Linked DNA regions of Alligator mississippiensis. The protein of the gene in region 2 interacts with the protein of the main gene of each other region in a pairwise test. Links are inferred from orthologs where the notes say so. Each region holds a gene or a part of one and is shown on either strand. Other genes may lie near its edges.

Region 1 (7,973 bases), on a different chromosome or scaffold from region 2:
TGAACTGGGATTTTTATACCTGTTCCTCTCTCACTTGCAGCCTCCAGCATTTAAGGTCCAGGAAGTTGTGACTCAGAGGTCGTGCACCCCACTCCTGTGCTCAGTAGCGACTGATGCCCCTTTCCTCCAAGGACATGTCCTACCCATTGGTGGATCTGGCTGAGCTGTCCGCTCCCACCACGTCTGAACTCCATGCTGCAGTGACACGCTGAGTGAAAAAGAACTTCCTTTTGGTAGTTTCCAACTTACTACCTACTGGCTTCATGCTGGGACCCCTCGTTTTTGTCTCGTGAGAGACAGAAAATAATAAACCCCTATTGACTTTCTCCTTGCCATTTAGTATTTTGTAAGCTGGGGTGGGCAATTCCTTGGGTTGGACGGCCACTTAAGGAGTTTTCAGGAGCTGTTGCAGACCGAGGGGAAGGAGAGGGTCCTGACTTGGCCCAGTGGATGGGGGGTAGGGGGCAAAGGTGGGGTGCAACTAATCCTGTCTGGCCCCAGCCCTGTCCAGCCTGCGCCCACTGCCAGAGGTGCCAGGCATGGAGACTGGTCCAGGACCCCTGCGGGCAGCATCTACTTGGCCGGGCAGAAGGGAAGGGACTGCAGGCGGGGGTGGGGGCAGTGTTGGGGAGGATGGGGCTGGGATCATGGGGCAGCGACAGGGCAGGGCTGGGGCCTGGGGCAAAGCCACAATCCACTCCCCACACGTCTCTGCCCACGGGACCAGCGCCCGTCACAGGGACCTGTGGGGAGTGGGTCGTGACTCTGCCCCAGGCCTCGGCCCTGTACTGTCACTGCCCCATGATCTCGGCTCCAGCCCCAGCCCTGGCTGCCTGTCCTGTTCTTGGATGCTGCTCCCCGCACACCTGCGGCCCCATCCCATCTACCCAGCTGAACACGCTCTGCCTGCAGCAGTCCTGGGCCAGGCCCCATGAAGACCTCACCTGCCCGCCTGCTCTGTCCAGCACCCACGGTGGTGCGTGCAGGGTGGATGGGCCGGGGTGCCTGGGCAATGGGGCCGGGTCTGGCAGTGGTGGCAGTGGTGACACTGGCAGCAACAGCCGGGCAGAATGAGCTGCCACCACATGAATGCCACCAACATCATTGATGTCACCAACATCTTCATCACTGATCTGGATGTGGAGGTGAAAAGCAAACTGACAAAGTTTGCCGATGACACTAAGCTGTGGGGAAGTGTGGCCACACATCAGGGTAGGCTGATGATCCAGGCAGACCTAGACACATTAATTAGGTGGGTGGACCAGAACCAGATGCTGTTCAGCACTGAGGAGTGTCAAGTGCTCCATCTGAGGAGGAAAAATCCACAAACTTACAGGCTCGGTGGTGCTACGGTACCTAACACCATGTCCAAAAGGGACCTGGGGTTCATAATTGACCATAAAATGAATACGAGCCACCGGTGTGATGCTACATTTGGCAGAACAAACAATACGCTGGCGTGCATCAACCGATGCATCTCAAACAAAACGAAGGAAGTTTTTCTTCTGCTCTACTCAGCATTGGCGAGGCTGCGGCTGGAGTAAGGCGTCCAGTTCTGGGAGCCATCCCTCAAGAAGGATGTGGAGAAGCTCGAGGGAGTCCAGAGATGAGCCACTCGTATGATTAGAGGCCCGAAGAGCAAGCCATACGAGAAAAGGCTGACAGATCTGGGACTGTTCAGCTTAGAAAAGAGAAGACTTCAGGGGGATTTGGTGGCAGCTTGCAAATATATCAGGGGAGAGCATCAGGGGCTAGATGAACAACTATTCACCAAAGTGCCTCAGAGGAAAACCAGGAGCAATGGACATAAACTCCTAGAAGAAGGTTTCAGACTGGATATAAGGAAAAACTTCATGGTTTGTGTGACCAGACTCTGGAATAGACTCCGGGTGGGGCTGGTGCAGGCACCTACCTACCGAAAGGCCTTTGAACTAGTATCCCACAATGTCCTCTTGAGAAAGTTGGAGGATTGTGGGCTTAACTCCGAGACAGTCAGGTGGGTGAGAAACTGGCCGCAGGACAGAACCCAGTCGTAGTGAACGGATCTGTGTCATCCTGGCAAGAAGTGGGCAGCGGCGTCCCGGCAGAGTCGGTGCTTGGTCCTGTACTTTTCAACGTCTTTATTAACAATTTGGCTGTGGGGGTGAAGAGCTCATGGGCCAAGTTCACGGATGACACCAAGTTACCGGGGAGTGTGGTCACGCTTGAAGATAGGCTACAGATACAGGTGGACCTAGACAGGCTAGCAAGTTGGGTGGACAGGAATCTGATGAAGTTCAACATCGAGAAATGTAAAGTGCTGCACCTCGGGACGAGCAACCCCCACACACCTACAGGCTTGGCAGCACCAAACTGACCAGCACCACGAATGAAAGGGACCTGGGGGTAATAACAGACCACAGTATGAATATAAGCCGGCGGTATAACGCTGTAGCCAGCAGAGCAAATAGTACTCTGGCGTGCATCAATCGATGCATCTCCGACAAAGCCAAGGCAATGATTCTTCCGCTCTACTCAGCACTGGTGAGACTACAGCTGGAGTACTGCGTCCAGTTCTGGGCATCGCACTTGAACAAGGACGTGGACAAGCTTGAGAAAGTCCAAAGAAGAGCCACCCGCATGATCAGAGTCTTAAAAGGCAAGGCATACGAGGAAAGGCTGAGGACGTGGGACTCTGCAGCCTGAGGAAAAGAGGGTGAGAGGAGACCTGGTAGCAGCTTACCGCTGCACTAGGGGAGTACATCAAGGGCTCGGTGAGCAACCGTGCACCAGGGCACCTGAGGGGAAAACCAGGAGTAATGGCCACAAACTCCTGGAAGATCGATTCAGGCTCAATGTTAGGAAAAACTTCTTCATAGTCAGGGTGTCCAGACTGGAATAAGCTCCCTCCAGAGGTGGTGCAATCACCGACCCTGGACATCTTCAAGAGGAGATGACGGTCACCTCGCTGGGGTCGCCTGACCCCCAGTTATCTTTCCTGCTTGGTGCAGGGGGCTGGACGCGATGATCTTCTGAGGTCCCTTCCGGCCCCTTACAATCTATGAATCTACCCTGGAGCTCTTCCAAAGGAGACTGGACGCACACTGTGCTGGGGTTATTTGACCCCCGCAGTCTATCCAGCCCACAGCAGGGGGGCTGGGCCCGATGGTCTCACGAGGTCCCTTCCAGCCCCAAACTTCTGTGAATCTGAATCAGCCACTGCACCGCCTCCTGGGCACGGCAGGACCAGCCACACACGCCACAGCCCAGGCTGCCCCCCACGCCTGGACTATGTGGGACAGAGGGACCCAGCACAGGCTGGACAGAATCACTTGGTGGACCAGATCCGAGCCGTATTTTGCCCACCCTGTTGTAAACCCCTATCACGACCCCCGCCGAGGCGTCTCTTTTTCTAAGTGGAACAGGCCTGGCCTCCTTAATCTCTCCCCCGATGGCAGCCCCTCCGTGCCACTGATCATCCGTGTCGCCCTTCCCTACTTCTTCTGCATCCTTTCTGGGGTGTGGGGACCAGAGCCGGGTGCAATATTTACGGTGTGGATGCCCCATGGATCTACAAAGGGGCATCACGATAGTCTCCGTTGTGTTCACGATTGCCTCAATATTCCTGAACGTGGTGTTTGCCTTCTTGACGGCAGCCGGGCCCTGACGCAATGTTTTTAGTAAACCATCCACAGTGACTCCCTGATCCCCATCCCGTGTCATGGAGCAGAGTCCGCTCTGCTGGTGGAGACTATCAGTGCCCCCAAACCCTGCTTCTTTACAGGAAGAAAACACCCCCTGCTTCCTGGGAGTTGAGGGAAAAGAAGGAGCTCCCAGAGGTGGAGAGGAGCCAGGGTCTCCAAGCCAGAGGAGCAGCCCCTTGTGAAGCACCTGGCTGCAGGGCTGCTCTCAGCAGAGGGAGACCGAATAAGGAGGGGTCCCAAGGGAGAGCTTCCTCCTCCCCTGGGAAGGGGCAGTGGGACCCTTCCCTGCACATGGCTTGCACACAGGGTCTGGCGTTGCCAGGTTTTAAATATGGAATTATTACATTGGAAACTCAAAATACACTGAAAAAGTATGCAAATAAGCTTTCTTCTTTGTTCTACATTGCTGTGTGACTCCAAGTGAGTGAGAGCTGGGCCATCAAAAATGAAGCATTTCTTTATTCCCAGGCAAAGCAAAACGCTGGCCGCAAACCCAAAAGTTAGCAAAGATGACCTGAGAGTGACTGGGGTTTTGCATATGCTGCGCCAAGGAGCTGCCTCCAAAATGACAGCTTTCTACCCCAAAGCTTGCAAAGAACAATTTTCCCAACTCTTGGAGTTGGTTTAATCAAAGATATCAGATTTACACGAAGACCCTTGTCTCCAAAATGCGGGGCCATTTGAACACTGTTACTATGACTGATTGCCAGGGATCCTGGTTTTCCTTGATTTCAAAAAATCCTCACTTTTCGGTTAAAAAAAAAAAAAAAAAGTAACCCCAAATCCACATTTTTCCATGATTTAAAGACCACTATGTCTATATCTCTATATTAGTGGCTTTTCATTTAATCACGGGAAAATGTGGATTTGGGGTTCCTTTTTTTTTTTAAACCGAAAAGTGAGGATGTTTTGAAATCAGGGAAAACGCGGATCCCTGCGGATCGCACATGGTGCGAGAGCGGGGCCCCGCACGTGTCTCGCGCACTCTCACGTGGCGCCCGCAGGGGGCGCCGCGCCGCGCCCTTTGCAGTCCCCAGCGGCCGCGCCCCTCGCACATATTTGTCCCGCTGCGGCTCCCATCCCCGCGGCGACGTCAGGTCGCCAAGAGGGAGGGGGCGTGTCTCCTCCACCGCCCCTACTTGCGCAGCCGCCCTTGCTGGCTGCCAGGCCGCGCCGCGCTCTCATTGGCTGTGGGCGCTGTCCGTCCGGCACCGGGGGGCGGAGCGGCGAACGCCCATTGGCTGGCCCCGCCCGGGCTGGGTCGTGGCGGCTGCGGGCTGTGAGGCGCCGCGGTCCGCGCCCGAGCCCGCACGACCCGACCCGACCCGTCCTGTCTTGTCCTGTCCTGTCCTGCGCCCGGGGCGGCGCCAGCGCCGCGGGACCATGTCGGCCAAGGACGAGCGGGCCAAGGAGATCCTGAGGGGCTTCAAGCTGTATCCGCCGGGCAGGGTGGGGGCTCCGCGTTGCCATGGGGACCGCGCGGGGGGGGGCGGAGCCCACTTCGTGGGGGGAGGGGCTGCTCGGGCCCGTCCAGCGGGATCCTCAGTCCGTCCAGGGGGTGCTGAGTCTCTAATGGGGGTCTGCTTGTGTCCACCCAGGGGGCGGAGGGCCTGTTCTGGGGGTCCCAGGTTCATGCAGGGGGGTCCTGAGCCCATCCAGGGAGGCCATGAGCACATCCAGGGGGCGGAGGATCTGTTCTGGGGGTCCTGGGTTCATCCAGGAGGGTCCTGAGCCCAGCCAGGGGGTGGAGGGCCTGTTCTGGGGGTCCTGGGTCCATCCAGGGGGGTCCTGAGCCCAGCCAGGGGGTGGAGGGCCTGTTCTGGGGGTCCTGGGTCCATCCAGGGGGGTCCTGAGCCCAGCCAGGGGGTGGAGGGCCTGTTCTGGGGGTCCTGGGTCCATCCAGGGGGGTCCTGAGCCCAGCCAGGGGGTGGAGGGCCTGTTCTGGGGGTCCTGGGTCCATCCAGGGGGGTCCTGAGCCCAGCCAGGGGGTGGAGGGCCTGTTCTGGGGGTCCTGGGTCCATCCAGGGGGGTCCTGAGCCCAGCCAGGGGGTGGAGGGCCTGTTCTGGGGGTCCTGGGTCCATCCAGGGGGGTCCTGAGCCCAGCCAGGGGGTGGAGGGCCTGTTCTGGGGGTCCTGGGTCCATCCAGGGGGGTCCTGAGCCCAGCCAGGGGGTGGAGGGCCTGTTCTGGGGGGTCCCAGGTCCATCCAGTGTGGTCTTGAGTTGATCCTGTGAGTCTAACTGGAGGGTGCCGAGTCTGGCGTGGGGGGAGGGGGGGGTCCTGAGTCTGTTCAGGGGGTCTTATACTTGCCCCTCCCCCACATAGACTCATGGCCCCCCTGGATGGACTCATGGCGGGGGCATGAGTCCATTTGGGAAGCTACGAGTGTTTTTTTGGGGGGAGGGGCGGTCTCAGGTCCATCCAGATCTGGAGTCAATGCAGGGGCCGGCAAGCCCAATGCGGGGGGGGGGGTGAGTCTGATGTGGGGGTCTTGAGTCCATCCAAGGGGGGGCATGAGTCTTTCTCTGGGGGTCTCGAGTCTATCCAGAGGCTGTGAGTCCATCTGTGGGGCCGTGAGTCTGTTCTGGGTACCTTAGACTTGTGGCCCCTGCTGTAGCCTGATGGCCCCCCCTGGGTGGAGGCATCTGGGGTGGGGGTATGAGTCCATCTGGGAGGCCACGAGTCTGTCCAGGGACTGCAGGTGTGTGGGGGGGAGGTTCGAGTCCAGGCAAGGGACCACTGCTCTGTGGCAGGCCGAGAGCTGCTGGCCAAGGGCTTCGCTCCCTCCCCGAGGTTGCAGCAAAGGTTGAGCCCGAGAGCAGGAGGAGGAGCGCAAGCATGACGGGCTCCGGGGAAGGAGGTGTGCATGCCGGTTTTGTGGCTATGCTTAGCACAGGGGCAGGAGGCAGAGCTGGGTGCTGGCTGCACCGCTCCTCGCTGACAGCGTGGGGGAAGGGGCCAGACACGGGCGATGTAATTCTGTGGTATTTTTGGATGCCGTTTTTACCTAACGGGACTTCCCCTGCAGTGAGATGCATATAATCTCTTTACCAGAGATACATATAATCTCTTTACCAGCTGCATCAGGATCCGAGCTTCTAGATGTTGGATTTAGCCAAATGGCTACCATCAAATGGCAAGCAGATGCTTCTCTCTGTAAGATCATGAAGTCCTTTCTCTCTCCTCTCACCCCCCAAACCATCTGGTTTTGGGATAGTTTCCTTTTTTGTTTCCAAAGTAGCAGCAGCAAATCTTCCTGAAGCATGCAGTATGATATTTCAGTTGTCAGAAAGATGCTTAGACCAAAGGCCATTAGAGGCTAGTCAGAAGTTCAAGCTAACTTGCCGGCAGCAGCAAAGACAAAACAAAAAGTAGCTTTACGCTGGATTTCAGGAAAGACTTCTTGACTGTCAGAGCAGGGAGGCAGAGGAATAGACGCCAGGGAAGGTGCAGACTCCCTCGCTGGAGGGGTTCAAGGAGAGGTTGGACAGCCACTGGCTGGGGATGATCTGGTGTAGCGATGCCTATGCTGTACCGTGGGGATTTCTTTGCTTTTGGGCTTTTCTGGCTGACCCATGGGTCGGAAAGGAATCTTTTCCCCTCCTGCTGGTGGGGAGTCTAACATCACTATATTTGGTGTCAGGAAGCAATTTTACCCCCTGGTTAGGTTGGTCCAGACAGTTGGAGTTTTGCCTTCTATAGTAGGAGGTGTGTCCTCTACTTGGGATCTCTTGAGCAATTAATGATCTTTGCTGCAGCAGGATGTTGGCTTTACTTGTGGCAGGTTAGGGCATTACGTCTTGTGTTGCATCAGGATTGACTGTGGATTTATATGGGATGGCTTGAACAGGGCTGATCTTGCCTCAGGCAGGGGTTGGACTAGATGTGACCTGGAGCCGTCTTCCAGCCCCAGGGCTCTAGGAATCTGTTAAGTAATCTCCAAGGACTCTAAGAAATGAACAAGCACAAAATAAAATTGATATTCTTGTTGGGTCAGTATGTATAGGGACCGCATGTATCTTCTGCTTTCTAGGGAACTTGGCCACAGCTATATTTAAGTGTTGCATGAATTAAGCCCTGTGTATAGTTAAGATTACTCAAAGTAAAGTGTTTTGTCACCTTTCAAGGCTGGGGGGAAGAGGAGGTCGTGCAGGTGTAACTTTCCACTATTTTCAGCAGACATAGTTAGTATTTGTCCTACCTGAACCTACCTAAGTGGGCCAGCTTAATAACCTAAATGTTACTGCTTAGTACAGCCATGTGGGAGCAGTCCAAGTTCAGTCTTTGTTCA
Region 2 (7,910 bases):
GGGGAGGGTTGGTGGGGCCAGGAGACATTTCCATCAGGCACTGCAGACTTGGTTTTGAGCCCGCTATTAGGCTGTGTTAGAGATGGGGGTGGGGAAGGACATACAGGCAGAAACTGCCACGTTTCAGGGAGTGTGGAGCCTCCCAGACAGTTTGGAAAGCCCCAGCACAACTGGACCCCACCAGGGAAACACCAGAAAGAGTGGCCAGTGCTCCTCTGGCCTGGGTATCCCCTGCCACGGGGCATCAGGGAGCGACACACTTGAATGAAGCGTGACCTAGAGAAGAGGGCACCGGGCTAGGAACCAGGGCACTTGAGCTCCTTCCACCGCAGCTCTGGCACCGGCTGCTAGCAGGGAACAAAACCGCCCTCCCGCTCCCTGCAGCCTCCCAGGCAGGTCGCGTTTTGTCCTTGAATTCAGGATTTCTGCCCCCACCGCGTCACTCCCAGAAAGGCTGGCATGTTGAAATGTGGCAGAGGAAGAGAGGGCAGGATGCAACGACAGCTTGGGCCAGGACGGGGAGGAGAGGGAGGAGGCTGCAACCCCTTGAAGGGCGCCCTGGCATGCAGGAGACGCCTGCTGCAAGCGAGACCTGCTCATCACGTTGCAGCACGCCGTGAGGGCGAGATCCCGTCCAACAGCCTTTTCCCACCAAGGGGCACTGGTCCGCCCCGTCCGCCCTGGCTCCCAACCTGTCCAGGGAGCATTACCTGTAGAACTGGAGCATGAAGCCCGTGATGGCCATGCCCCCGGGCACCTGGAACGACATCCTCCCGATGAGGTTCATCTTCTCCCCGCTGTCAGGGTGGAAGGCCGAGTCGTAGAGCTTCTTGGCATACAGCAGCTGCTCCTGGCTGGTCCCCGGCGGCACGACGCCTGCCCTGCCAACCAGAGAGCCATCAGCACCTGGGAGGCACCCACCTGGGCACAGCTGTGCCCTGCCGTCATGATCCTCCACCCATGATGTCCTGCCAAGGTGCCTGAGGCAGGGCTCTGCTGAAAAAGGGTTTCCCCCTGGGAGAGCCTGGTTTCCCCCGCCATGGGGCATCAGGGAGCTATACACCCAAATGACACGTGCTCCAGTACGTGGGAGCCAGGCCGCCCGACTCCTTCCACCAGATCTCGCGGTACCCCGGAGCCCTAGGTTCAAACTCCCCCCGTCGGCAGGAGTGCAAGGCTTTGCTCACCTCTTTCCTACCCGCGGGGGCTGGATGGGAACCCCCACCGGGAGGGCTCAGTGAGGAGCCTCGTGCTGCGTGTCGCCCCCATCCCAACCCCTCAATGGTTCACGGTGTAGCCCTGAGAAAGGCCTCCAGGCGCCTGGGCTGCCCAGCTGTGTACCTGCAGCCTTGCACGAGCACCTTGGCCCTGTCCAGCTCTTGCTCCGACACCAGCACCGTGCGTGGGTCCGTGATGTTGAAGAAGTGCTTGAGGCGCCCCACGAACGTGGTCTGGTCCCACCGCGGGGTATCGATGTCGAAGCTGGCCGAAGCGGGTGCCATTGTAAGGCGGAGCTGGAGAAGGGGAGCACTGGTAAACGGACCCCGCTCTCCCATGCCCGACACTGCCCAGAGATCAGCCTCCGCAACCAACCTGTCTCTGGTAACGCCCCCCGTCCCAGGCCACCCCGCAGAAGCCCAGGGAGAGAGAGAAGCAGTGAATAAGCCCATGTCATGGGCTCGTCCGCACTGCGAGACTCTCCCAGCATGGCGATGTAGGGCTTGCTGGTGTTCACCCAGCAAAGAGGGACCCAGACCCCGACTTCAGCCCCTACCATACAAGGCATCAAGCCAACCCCACCTTTGCCATCTCCTGTTGGTTCAGGGCCATGACGAAGTATTGCACCCCACCCAAGCCGAGGTAGGTCCATCGGCAAAATCCTCCTTTGGGCACGAGCGTAACATGGACAGGTCCACGGTCACATATCTGCACAGCGCCTAGCATGGGGTCAGAGCCCCTGGGGCTCGGCCTCTGTGCAGGCAGCAATCCCCGCTAGGCTCCCGCTCCAGCACGACACCAGCTCCCGTGTCCAAGGTCAAGGTCAAAATGGCCAAGTCCATTGACCAAGGAGGTCAAGGGTGCCAGTAGCTCCAAGCAGCTGGAGGGGGACACAGCAGCTTTCACCTGTGCACCATCCCTGGTGCATCACCACCTAAGCTTTATTATAGGGACTGATGTGCAGCGATGGGGGCGATTGCAAGCCAGCTCTTAACAAACCAATACAACCCACCAGCTTCCATCGTGCCTCGTAGACAGGGATGATTCAGACGGGGCTGGACCAGACGTGGCAACCAGAGGGCCCTGCCAGCCCGACCTCACTATGACTCTGTGCCCAGCACAGGCCGTGACTTTTATCCCACTCGGGAGCTGCTCCCTACAAACAGGGACCGAGATCCCCATCATGGCACCAGGATCCAAGAGCTGCTGGCACGGAGGTGGCCATGTAGCCACCGTGTTCGCTGGCTAAGCAGAGCTGAAGCAGGGGCATATCACAGAGCTCTTAAACCAGCCCTCTGAGCCCATCATCGGGCCCCTCTACTCAAACTGATCCCATTTGGGGTCAGGAAGGAATTTTCCCCACCATGATCAAATTGGTACGGACTGGGAGGGGATGGTCATTCTCCATAGCACGGCGCATGGCTTCTGCCTGGGATCTCTCGAGCATCCAGCCCCTCACGACTACAAAACGGCTCAGACAGCCCCCCACTGCCAAAGGGGTTTGGCACTACAGATTTTTATTTGAAATCTGGGCCGAGCTTGTAAATCACACGTAGGCAGTTGCAATGCTGCGCGCCACCCTTACAAGGATCTCACGGGACCCCCAAGCTGCTGCAGCACCCGGGTGGGAATCACGGGTCTAACCAAGCCATGGCTGGGGGGTAATACTGAATATGGAGCCAGATCCGACACTTCTGCAACCCTGAGAAAGAAACCTTCCCTTGGACCTCCCGGCCTGACTGCTTCACCACCTTGGTTTAATGTTTCGCAGGCCCCCGATCCTAAAGCCCCCCCACGGCTGTGGGTGCTTCGCTGGGGACCCTGCAGCCTGGGCTGAAAGAGCTCGAGAGCCCTCCGATCCTTTCCTTTGAGGCCAGCGACGCTGTCCCAGGCAGGGCTTTCAGACACTGCAGCTGCCCTCCAGTCCCATGCACTCCTTTAAGTGTCCCGGATATCGTTGTTGGGTCTGCAGAGGTTACAAGCTCCATCTGCCACGGATACTTCACAACGAGCCCCAACATTTCCAGCGGGAACCTGCCACGTTGCTGATTCCACGATCCTCGTAGGGTCAACACGAAGTAGGATCGTGTTTGAGGTCTAGTGTGGCAGCAATGGCGAGAACGTGGGCCTGGGAGGGGTTTCACTGCGACCTGGGACATCCCCACTTCCCTACGGCTCCTTGCAACGAGGAGACTCACCTGCCTCCCCAGAGCTGGCTGCAACCACCAACCGCTGCCTGCAGCGCTCTGGAGGTGGCGGCACCGGACGAAATAGCCAACGGCTAATGGTTGGGAGCAGGGGGAAGATCCTGGGATCCAAGCACTGGGAACAGCCCCATGCCAAAAACTCCCAGGCTAGGAGGAGGTTTCAAGCTGACTTACCGTGAGCGCGGTCCCAGCTGCCGGCTCTTAGCTGGAGCTCGCCAGCTGCGCACACACCGAGTCTTAGAGAAAGTTAATTATTCCCTGGATGAATGCAAAAAAAAGGTGACTTATAAAGCGCCATCACTGCCTGGGAAATGCTGCATCTTTCGCAATTCTCTGGGGCACTTGACGGGACCCCGAGGATCCTCACGAGGCACTTGGAAGAGGGGACGCGCAGCCTGCGCCCGTTTCAGACGGGGGAAATCGTAGAAGAGGCAGCGGCCAACCGGGGCTAGGTCCTGCTCCGTGCCCGGGGTACAGGCAGATTAAGGGACATGCCTCGGGACACCCAGGAGGGCAGTAGCAGAGCTGGGAAGCGGCCCGGCCTGCTCTCACGGGGACGGGGGTGGTGAAGCGACGGCGTCGCGAGGGCCCCTGACCCCGCTCCTGTCCCGGTGCCCGCGGGGGCAAAAGGCGCCCAGCGTCCCGCCATCCCCTGCAAAGCCTGGTTACTAATTGGGGACGCGGTCAGCCCCGTGAACCCCGGACGGGCGGGTCCGGCCTGCGAGTCAAGATTAACCCCCTGGTTACTGCCCAGCGCGCCGGGCGGGCGGGGGTCTCGCTCGCTCGCTCGCTGACCGCAAACGGGGCTGGCAACAGGGTCCGCACGCCACCCCACGAGGCGGGGGGCGCCGTCAAAACGCTGCGGGCGAGGGCGAGGGGCTGGAGGCCTGGCGGAGGGGATGTGCAGCACCCCGAGGGGTAGCCCTGGGCTCCCCCACCCCTGGGTGTGCACTGCGCTGCACTGCGCTGCACTGCACCCCCCCGCCACAGCAGCCACATTCGCCCCGGGCGCTGCGCGGGGCCCCACCACGCTTCACTGGCGCACTGCACTGTCGAGCACTGCACACGCCAGCACTGCGCCCACACTGGGCATCGCTGGCACGTGCTGCTCAAGGCCACGCTGCACAAGCCAACGCTGCACAGGCCCACCTGCGCATCGCTGGCACGTGCCGCACTACACCGGCGCACTGCAACCCCCCTCCCCCCGCACTGCACGCGCTGCCCCCCTTACCTGCCGCGTCTCCATCCCACGTGGGCGCCGCCGGCGTGGCCCGCCCCGGCCAATCAGCGCCCCGCAGCCACCCCGCCCCACCCCACCCCACCCCGCCTCCAGCGCCCAACACGCATGCGCCCGCTTCACAGCCCGGGAGGGGGCGGGGCTGGCCTTCCCCACCCCTTCCTCCTCCTACTCCTCCTCCACGCGCCGCTTCGCGCACGTTCCGTCCTTGCGTGCCTGCGTCACCGCGGCGGCGGCGGGGGGGGGGTGACGCTAGACGTCGGCGGCGCCGGCGTGCATGACGCAGTTGCCCATGGTAACCCGGGAGCCGCGTAGAGGATGGTGAGTGCCGGGGGGGCGCGGGCCGGGCCCGGGCCCGGGCGGGGGAGGGGAGGGGAGGGGAGGGGCGGCACGGGGGCCCCGCCAGGGAAGCGGGGCACGGAGCGGGCCCCCGCCAGGGCTGGGGGAGGGGCTCCCGGCGGCGGGGTGGCAGTGGCAGTGGGGTTGTCGTGACCAAACCCCACGGGTGGGCGGGCGGGCGGCGTGGCAGCATCGCCGTCCTATGTCCGCCGGCGGCGACGGGGCGGCACGCGCCGTTTCTCTCTGCGCCGAGGGAAGGCTGGTATGGAGAGGACTCCCTCCGCGCGCGGCGGCGGTGACCGGCGTCCGTCCGAGACAGGACCGTGCCGCGGCGTTCGGGAACAGGGTCCATTTCACAGACGGCAACACCGAGTCGCAGGCATCAGCCGGCCCCGCAAAACACCCCGCGTCGGATTCGGGGATCGTCGCCCCCGACCGCGAGCTGCCGGAGACACGACTTGAAAACCGGCGTCCCTCGAGGACGCCTGGAGAGCGGACCGAGGAGCTCCGCGACTTTCTCCTCCTCGTACGAGCCCGTTACGTCAGGCCTTTGCTTTAATTAGGTCTTAAAATTGGCGCCGACCGCCGGTAGCCGTCAAGGTACGGCCGGAGAAAACGTGTCGGTATTCTAGAAAAGAGACCTACGTTTCACGCGGGGAAAGGAGCAGGTTGGCAGCGTCCCGGTTGAAGCGCGTAGATGCAGGTTTCACGCGCGAGCTTTCTTCCTATGGAAATCTGCCCAGACTTCCTCCGCTCGGCTTCCTCGACTTTTTTTTTTCCCCCCTCCCCTCTGTTTTCGTAGAGCCCGTTTAATTTTGCACGTGCAAAAGCTGGAGATGTAGCTCTCTTGCAGGGCGGCAAAAGAGAAACCGGCGTGTGACCTCTTTTGACAGAAAGCTGCGTCAGTGGGTTTGAGCGGGGAAAGCTGTCTAGGTGAATTGAATCCGGCAAATGTTAGACTTCGGCACGGAAAGAAATTGCCCGCATTGAATGACACCATATGGTGGAGACACAGCAAGCTAATGACTTCATTGGGAGTTTTGCCAGCGTAAGAAGTACTGAATAAAGTGCGCTCAATAGATTAATTTACTGTGGTTGTATTTCGAAAAAGGCTGGGTGATTGGATGACCGTTAGGAACATTGTGGCGATGCGGGCTCGGAGAAAGGCAATCAAACGTCATTCATCCGGGCATCAGTCAGTCAGGTGCCGCCGTCGGGAAGGATTCCCCCCCCTCCACACGCGTTGCATAATGATGCGCCGCACGTGAACTGCGGCTGACGGCGAGAGATTGGGTACAACACACCATTTGCCCGAAACGGCTGGTGAGTCCGGTGTAAATCCAGCCACACCTTCTCCAAAGACCCTCCTTGCCTACCGTAGTCCGTGATCGGGGCTCCTAGGTTGCGGATCGAGAGTCCATGCTGCTCAAACACACAGTAGAGAGACGGTCTCTGCCCCACTCGGCGTACAGTCTACCCATGAGGCTAACGACCACGTAGGGCTACAGACGCATTGCAAGGTCCAGGGAGCAGCGAGACAGTCGGGTCAGTGTGGTCGGCGGTGGTGACAGCAGTTCAGCTCCTGGGAAGAGGACAAAGTTTTTTAGGCATCGACGTCAAGGTGGAGAAGGAGGCTGTTTTATGAGGAGGCCTCCCCCAGCATCTGGCAGCAGAGGCGCCGGCTTGAAATGTAATCAGTTGGGGATGGAGGCTGGAACTGGGCTTGACATCGCAGCGGCAAAGAGGATATGAAGGGCCTTGAAAGTACAGACAAATAGTTTGCGCTTCATGAGACGGAGGGGTAGGAGCCAGCGGAAGACGCGAGGAGAGGAGTCGACGTGGTCCAAGCGATGGTTTGGGTAGCGAAACTCTTTGCAGTAGGCCTGTACTTGAGCAGACTTCGCTGGAGCTGTCGTTAATGCCACATCTGCTCGGCAAACATTTATTGGTAACCAAGGGCAGGTTTCCCAGCAGTTATATTTTATATTCATTATCTGAGCTTTGCGGCTAATGCAGCTAAAGAGAAGCTATTTACTTCTAGGGACGCGACTCTCTGCTCTCTTTTGACTGCAAGGCCCCATCTTTAAGCTCAGAACATAACAGGAGATTGTTCCCTCCATTACACCCTTTATATCCTCCGTTCCAAGAGGATATTTACACAGGTTATTTCAATGCTCTCTTCCCCCAAGACTAATTTCTTATTTGGCCTATAAATGTGAATCTTGCTTTGAACTGCTTCTGTGGCACTGAACGCAGTTACATGCATCAGCTAGTTCTAGAAAGCCATACAGCTTGGATTTAAAGCTGAATAAACCCGCAAACCCCATAGCTAGGTCTATAAATGTCATTGCATTTTTATATACGTGTAGCTTTTTTCCTAAAGAAAACAGGATTACTGCATGGAGCTGTAACAAAAAGTCCTTTGGTGATTCTGTGGGTATTTTAAAACCTAGAAATGACATGCTTTCCCTCAACCACACATCCTTATTCTCTGAAGGTTATGGTGGTAACTTTCCCTCATTTCCAGCTTGCTCTGTTTCTCTCTTAAGACGGCACATAATATTCAATACTGGGTTCTGAATTTTTTTTGAAACTGTGCCATATAAATATATATTGCAATATCTTCATCCAGAAAATGGCACTCTCTCACTGATGGTTATGTCACATCCTAACCTCTCTGCCACCCTTTCCCCTAGCCACGACAAGCCTGAGTTTTGCTGCGCTCATATTCCACCCAGAGCGCTGCTACGAAGGTCCTGTTCAAGACCCATCATTTTTGGTCCTTTACATCCATTCACCGGCTTCCTAGATCATCTCCCACCCCCGGCAGTCCATGATGCCAGCCTTTAAACAGAAACATCGGTGCTTTCTTCCATACCCGGGAGGAGCTCCTTACAGACATAAAGCCA
Region 3 (7,632 bases), on a different chromosome or scaffold from region 2:
ACAAAGTCTCTAGACGAGGGTGTTGAGGTGGATGTCGTCTTCCTGGACTTTAAGAAGGCCTTTGACACGGTTTCCTGCCACATTCTCTTAAAAAAAAAAACTTGATGACTGCAGCATTGATGCCTACACTGTCAGATGGGTGGCAAATTGGCTAGATGGTCGCACCCAGAAAGTGGTGGTGGACAGGTTGTTTTTGATCTGGAGGGATGTGGGCAGTGGTGTCCCCCAGGGCTTGGTCCTGGGGCCTGTACTGTTCAAAGTCTTTATCAGTGATCTGGATGTGGGTGTGGAAAGCACGCTGTTCAAATTTGCTGACAACACCAAGTTGTGGGGTGAGGTGGGCACGCTGGAGGGGAGGGACAGAATCCAGCTAGATCTAGCATCATAGGCGAGCCTGTAGGCGAGCATCATAGCCCAGCCTCTAGCACGGATCTTTGAAAACTCTTGGCGCTCTGGCGTAGTGCCCAAAGACTGGAAGAAGGCCAATGTGGTGCCTATCTTCAAGAAAGGGAGGAAAGTGGATCCGGCTAACTATAGGCCCATCAGCCTGACTTCTATCCCAGGGAAGATCTTAGAAAAGTTTATTAAAGAGGCCATCCTTAATGGACTGGCCGACGCCAACATCTTAAGGGATAGCCAGCACGGGTTTGTTGCGGGTGGGTCTTGCTTGACCAATCTCATTTCCTTCTACGACCAGGTGACCTATCATCTGGACAAGGGAGAAGAGATTGATGTCATATATCTTGACTTCAAAAAAGCCTTCGATCTGGTTTCCCATGATCACCTCTTGGTGAAACTGGCCAATTGTCGCCTTGGGTCCACCACAATCCACTGGCTGGAAAATTGGCTCCGGGGTCGGACCCAGAGGGTAGTAATTGATGGAAGTCACTCATGGTGTCCTGTGACCAGTGGGGTCCCCCAAAGCTCTGTCCTTGGACCCATACTGTTCAACATCTTCATTAACGATGTGGACACTGGAGTCAGAAGCAGACTGGCCAAGTTCGCCGATGACACCAAACTTTGGGGCAAAGCATCCACCTTGGGAAGAAAAACCCGCAGCATCCTTATAGGCTCGGCAGTGCTATGTTGGCTAGCGCTATGGACGAAAGAGACTTGGGGGTCATCATTGACCACAAGATGAACATGAGCCTGCAATGCGATGCTGCAGCTAGTAAAGCGACCAAAACGCTGGCTTGCATCCATAGATGCTTCTCAAGCAAATCCCGGGACGTCATTCTCCCCTTGTACTCGGCCTTGGTGAGGCCACAGCTGGAGTACTGCGTCCAGTTTTGGGCTCCACAATTCAAAAAGGATGTGGAGAAGCTTGAGAGAGTCCAGAGAAGAGCCACGCGCATGATCAGAGGTCAGGGAAGCAGACCCTACGATGACAGGCTGAGAGCCCTGGGGCTCTTTAGCCTGGAAAAGCAGAGGCTCAGGGGTGATCTGATGGACACCTATAAGTTTATCAGGGGTGACCACCAGTATCTGGGGGAACGTTTGTTCACCAGAGCGCCCCTAGGGATGATGACTAGGTCGAACGGTCATAAACTACTACAAGACCGTTTCAGGCTGGACATAAGGAAGAATTTCTTTACTGTCCGAGCCCCCAAGGTCTGGAACAGCCTGCCACCGGAGGTGGTTCAAGCGCCTACATTGAACACCTTCAAGAGCAAACCGGATGCTTATTTTGCTGGGATCCTATGACCCCAGCTGACTTCCTGCCCTTTGGGCAGTGGGCTGGACTCGATGATCTTCCGAGGTCCCTTCCAGCCCTAATGTCTATGAAATCTATGAAAATCTAGACAAATTACAAAGGTGGGCAGATGAGACTAGGATAGAACTCAATGCAGACAAGTGCAAGATACTGCATGTAGGGAGAAGGAACCAGCAACACACCTACAGGCTCTGGAACACCCTTCTTGTTAACATGGTGGCAGAAAGGGATCTTGGAGTCATTGTTGACTCAAAGCTGAACGTGACCCGCCAATGCGAGGAAGCAGTCAGTAATGCTAACCACACCTTGTCATGCATCTACAGATGCATCACAAGCAGGTCCAGGGAGGTGATCCTTCTCCTCTACATGGCATTGGTCAGGCCACAGTTGGAGTACTGCATCCAGTTCTGGGTGCTGCACTTCAAGAGAGATGTGGCTAGCATTGAGAGGGTCCAGAGGAGGGCTACTCGCATGGTCAAGGGGCAGCAGGGCAGGCTCTACGAAGAGAGGCTAAAGGGCCTGAACCTGTTCAGCCTCCACTAGAGGAGAATGAGAGGGGATCTGGTGGCCCTTTACAAACTCACCAGGGGGGACCAATGGGAATTGGGGAAGGCACTGTTCCCTGTGGCACCACCAGGGGTTACTAGGAATAACAGCCACAAATTATTAGAGAGAAGGTTTAGGTTGGACATTGGGAGACATTACTTTACAGTTAGGGCTGCCAGGCTCTGGAATGGGCTCCCAAGTGAGGTGGTACTCTCTTCTACCTTGGGGGTCTTCAAGAGGAGGCTGGACAGACATTTGGCTGGAGTGATATGACCCTGGCACCCCTTCCTGCCCGGGGTAGAGGGTCAGACCTGATCTGTTTAGGTCCCTTCTGACCCTAAGCACTGTGATACTGTGAGTTAGACTAGTTCTGCTTGGAGAGCTCTTTATATCCTCTTCCTACTATAACATCCTTAGGCTTCTAGAGCTCTACAGAGACATGTCTTTTGTCTATGAAAGGAAATATTTGAGAAGGAAGCACCTAGAAGGTTGAGTGATGGATCAGGGTGACTTTATAGTATAAGGAGATCAGAAGGGGAGGTATACGTATTAGTGCTGTGCTTCACCACCTTGAATGGAGTTTACCTGGAAGGAAAGAAACAGATTTTAAATACACAAATGGTGGAACAGCCTTTGAATTATTTGGATAATTTAGATGTTTGCTATTGTTCTATAACTACAAGAAATTTAAGTGCTAGACTTTAACTTGTAGAATAGCAGAGTTAAAGTGGAGTTTTATCAGGTTGCATCTGCTTTCAAAATCAAAAGTGTTTTGAACATTAGAACTTGCATGCTTTGCAAGTGGGATATAAAATAAACACCTTACCTGAGGTTAAGCAGCTTTTGGCTAAACCTTTCCTGATTTTTTTGTATGATTTCATTTGGAGGGAATGGAAAAAAGGCCTTGAAGGACTGCAGCCCTAACAATTTGGGAGAACAGAACCAAGATTTTGAATTTGAATCAGAATTTTCTGGGAAGTTGATGGCAACATCCAGCACCAGTGTGCTGCGTTTGCAGCAGCTTTGTTATACAACAGGTAGGCTGCCACAGTTGCCACCAGCTCAAGCTTTTTTCAGGTGGTCTCCTTCATATTCAGATAAATGTTTGAAATAGAGTTTAAAGGTCGTACATGTGGCTTGCGGTTCAATAACCAAATTGAATGGAATGGGATTTTACAGAGCAGTGAGTTACTGGAACAACTACAAGTAAACTTAGCAATTGCCATGAATCACTCATTTTGACAGTCTCTCTCTCAAACTTGTATTGACTTGGAATATTGTACATTCAAAAGTGTACTTAACAGTGTAATTGTAAAATTAGGACTTCCTCACATTGTGCATGTGAAAGCAGTCTATTCAGTCAATTTATTTATTTCATAGGTTTATAGAAAACTAGGGCTGGAAGGGACCTCAAAAAGTCTACTCCAACCCCCTGCCTCCGGAGCAGGACTGTTTCCCAAGTGGATCATCCCAGCCAAGGCTTTGTGTACCCAGGCCTTAAAAACCTCCAAAGATGGAGCGTCCACCACCTTTCTGGGTGACCTGTTCCAGTGCTGCACTCCCCTGCTAGTGAGAGAGGTTTTTCCTAATATCTAACCTGATATTTCCTTGTAACTTGACCATTGGCTTTTTTGAGTATCTGCCACCACTGAGAACAGTCCAGCTCCATCCTCTTTGTAACAACCTTTTGAGGTATTTGAAGGTTGTTCCTGTTGTTAAAGGGCAGTGCGCTGGAATTGGCATCCCTTTAACATGACTCAGTACGCATGTAACGTCCACGGGGGGGCGGGCTGCTAACACAGCCTCGGCCTTCTCCGAGCTCTGGCTGCACAGCTGTGCTGTCCGAAGCACCTGTCTGATCTCCTCTGGGTCTGGCCTCGCCCTTGCGGCTGCCCGCTTGATTTCTGTCATTAAACCGAGTGCCCAGATCTCAGGCCCGGCAGCCGGTGCCGGGCGGCCTGTGCGAGGCGCGCGGCCCAGCGGGGTGCGCCAGGAACTGCGACCGGCGGCACGTGCGAGACGCCCCACGCTCCCGCCCGCCATCGTCACGCCGCCGGGCCACCGGGCGCTGCACCACCCAGCCGGGGACACGTCACCACTGCCGCGCTCTCCCATTGGCCCGGCCCTTTCCCTTGGGGGCGGCCCCCTCGCTCAGCATTGGCTGCAGCTGCCGGAAGGAGGCATTTCCTAGGCAACCGGGCAGGACATAACCGTCCAGTGGGGAGGCCTGCCCGGCTCGGCCGTGCGGAACGTGCTGCCCCCGGGTGCCCGCGGCGGGGCCGCTGTCCGGGGCCGGGCGTGCGCAGCCAGCGGACAGAGCCCCGCTCGTGCCCTGGGGCAGGGGGTGGAGCGGCCACGGCCTCCGCGTGTGCGCGCGCTGGGCTGCCCCCGGCCGGGGGCCGCGGTGTTTTCTCTTTTCCCCCCGGCTGCTCATTCCGCAGGTGAGGCGGCGGCGGCGATGGAAACGGCAGAGGAAGAAACCCTGGAAACGTGGGTGTCCGTGTGAGTGGCCGGAGCTCCGCGGGGTTTGGCCTCGGTTAAAGGAGCTTCACGGCTCCAGGGCAAGAAACCCGCGGTGTTAGGAGCAGGTCCGAGCTGACTCTACCCAGCCCACGGCTCGTCCCTCGGCCCACCTGGCCCCAGTGCAGGGGGCAGCCTGGGCTGTGCTGTATTGGCTGGTTCGGCCACCCCGGGCATGCAGCAGGGTAGGGGCAGCACAATAGCCAAGTTCAGCTTCCTGGCGGCCCCTGTAGGCAGCTCACTCAGCCCACTTACTGCCACTAGTGTCTCCGCTGCCACCAGACCCAGCCTCACTGCCTGAGCACCCCAGCCATCTGCCCTACACCCACCACTGGACAGAGCAGGCAGGCAAGGCCCCTGTGGAGACCAGCTAAAGACCCCCGCAGGCAGGGTGCACTCATCCAGACAGAAAGGATGGGGCTGCAGGTGGGTGGGGAGCTATGTCCAGGAGCAGGATGGGTGGGACTGGGTCCAGGACCATGGAGTAGTGACAACATGGAGCCGGGGCAGAGCCACGATCCGCTCCCTGCATGTTCTTGCCTACGGAACCGGCTCCCAGTGCGGGGGGGGGTGTGGGGAGCTGATCGTGGCTCTGCCCCAGCCCCATGCTGTCATTGCTCTGCAATCCCATCCCATCTGCGGGGCTGAACACACCCTGCCCTCAGGGATCCCCAGCCAGTCTCCAGGGAGACCCCACTTGCCCACTCTGTCCAGCACCCTTGGCGGTAGGTACGGGGTGGATGGGCCAGGGGCATGATAGGATCAGTTGCCCCCATCCTCCTTTGCTCCTCTGCTGTACTGGGCCAGTTCAGTGCACCCCCCCCCTCGCACCCCCCCAGCCTACAACAGCTCACCAGAACTCCTTAAGTGGCCCTCAGCCCAAATAATTGCCCACCCATGTGCTAGGCTATATAGTGGGATTTAGCTGTTGTTTGTAGACTTGTCTTAATAGTTTTCTTCTGCCTTCAGGTGGCGTGTCAGACTGCTGTTCATTCGTGTTTTCTGCATGTGCACTACCAGCATTTAACATAGAGGAGTGTCAAACTTATGTGGTTTCGCAGGCTTGCTGTGGTACTTGGGGCCAGTCTGCAGGCCAGATTGGGCCTACAGACTCACCCTTATGCTGTAGCCAGCCCACAGGGCAACATGCCTTGGACCAGTCTGGCTTCAGCCCTCATGCATGCTGGCCCTACCCTTGCACATGGCATGTGGGATGAGTCCAAGCTGTGTGCTACACACAGGGTTGGTCTGCAGTGTGTGTAGCACCTGCACTGGACCGGCTGTGTGCTGGATCTGGCACTGGCGGCCAGTCTATGGGCCTGATCCAAAGCAGCCCTGGATCCAATGTGCAGGGCCAGTCCAATGCAGGTGCTGCATAAAGTTCACCCCAGACTGGCCCTGTCATGTTTAGCCCACATGAAATGGGCTTTACACTGCATGCAAGGCCAGGGCAGGGCCAGCACATGCTGCCTGGGGCCAGTCAGGCAGCGCTGAAGGCAGGATGACAGGGTTCTGCGCGGTGTATTTTTGATGCCCAACTTAACAGATCACAAATGTAAGCATTGCTGAACTTTATTTTGCTGTAAAAATTATTAACAGCAAAATAACTTTGTAGATTATTTTTTAAAAATATGGTTTGAAGTAAGATTCTTCTTTGCATGAGAGAGATGGAGAACAATTTCCATACAAGATAGTCTGTTGCTTTGGCTAAGGAACATAGTTCGCAAGTGTGCCGCCAGGTTTTCACCTTTGATGTGAGGAGGAAAAAAGTCTGTGCCCCTAAAACATACTGAGGAAACTTTTTTTTTTTTATAATTTACCCATAACCCCAAAACTGCTGCCAAATGCCAGAGTCAGGGAAGCTTTGAATTATTGGATGTCTGTAGAAAACATCAAGAAACATAAAATTGGCAGAGGGACTCAGTCTTCTGAGGTGCTGCTAATGGGATTCCTCATATAAACAAGTCTGTTTGAATAAGGGCATGTAGTTTTTGTTTTCTTGTTGCAAAATAACGGAAGCTACTAATTCATTTTTAAGTAGGATTTAGCAATCCATATAGATAGGGACTGTTGTATCGGCTGATCGTGTAGGATCTGTAGTTTTGCATCCCAAAAGTTAAAAGTTTAGTTTTGACTCTTTCATCACCCTCTTTGTGATTATGTTATATTGGAAAAATGTTAAATAATTATTTCCAGTAAGTACTTTACTTTAGTTAATCCTATTGTGTACATTTTTTTTTTTAGTTTATATGTGAGTGAGTGTTTAGGAGATGATCAGGACTACAGTTTAGCAGTATATGAAATGGGGATTGAAGCTTTATTTTTTTCACATGGAGTCATAATTTGAAAAAGGTGTAGGCTGCTGGTCCAAATGCAAGTCTTCAGTAATTTCTGGAGCCTCTCCAAGAAATGAATTTACACTAGTAATAATGCCCTGCAGAATAAAGCTTTGTTTTCACCAACTAGCTATCCTTAGTATCTGATGGAAACTTAATGAGATTAAGGCCTGCCACAGGGATTAATAGTTTTAATATCAAGTAATTTTTGTGTGCAGTGAGCCTTTTTTATAATGTAAACCAGGGAAAGTATTCATTTTGCTGATGTGGTATCAGGGTAATTGCACTAATTTATATTTAGGGTTCCATTAACAATTTAAGACTAATCTTCCTTTTTCTTGTTTTCAGATCTTCCCCTTCAGAAGCAGAATTTGATGCTGTGGTTGGGTATTTAGAGGATATTATAATGGGTAAGCTCCTGCATCTAGATGTGCCTTAAAATAAGCAATAAAAGTATTGAGGGGCAGGATATACATTGCATTCTACTGATAGAAGCATGTGGAGTAAGCAGCGCAG

What was found.
Region 1: the proteins of ARL3 (region 2) and PDE6D interact in binary tests that used the Homo sapiens proteins (3 or more experiments, as listed by UniProt). The link is inferred for Alligator mississippiensis from reciprocal best matches to the Homo sapiens genes ARL3 and PDE6D.
Region 3: the proteins of ARL3 (region 2) and ARL2BP interact in binary tests that used the Homo sapiens proteins (3 or more experiments, as listed by UniProt). The link is inferred for Alligator mississippiensis from reciprocal best matches to the Homo sapiens genes ARL3 and ARL2BP.

Annotation. Positions count from the first base shown.
Region 1 is NC_081830.1:84,859,916-84,867,888, forward strand, and holds the start of PDE6D (retinal rod rhodopsin-sensitive cGMP 3',5'-cyclic phosphodiesterase subunit delta), read left to right. Parts: upstream 1-4,933; 5' UTR 4,934-5,066; coding exon 5,067-5,116; intron 5,117-7,973. UniProt on the Homo sapiens protein: Promotes the release of prenylated target proteins from cellular membranes. Modulates the activity of prenylated or palmitoylated Ras family members by regulating their subcellular location.
Region 2 is NC_081829.1:99,163,669-99,171,578, forward strand, and holds the start of ARL3 (ADP-ribosylation factor-like protein 3), read left to right. Parts: upstream 1-4,877; 5' UTR 4,878-4,980; coding exon 4,981-4,983; intron 4,984-7,910. Other genes in the region: SFXN2 (sideroflexin-2), read right to left, coding at 711-881, 1,342-1,514, 1,801-1,830. UniProt on the Homo sapiens protein: Small GTP-binding protein which cycles between an inactive GDP-bound and an active GTP-bound form, and the rate of cycling is regulated by guanine nucleotide exchange factors (GEF) and GTPase-activating proteins (GAP).
Region 3 is NC_081833.1:37,228,180-37,235,811, forward strand, and holds the start of ARL2BP (ADP-ribosylation factor-like protein 2-binding protein), read left to right. Parts: upstream 1-4,609; 5' UTR 4,610-4,718; coding exon 4,719-4,762; intron 4,763-7,464; coding exon 7,465-7,526; intron 7,527-7,632. UniProt on the Homo sapiens protein: Together with ARL2, plays a role in the nuclear translocation, retention and transcriptional activity of STAT3. May play a role as an effector of ARL2.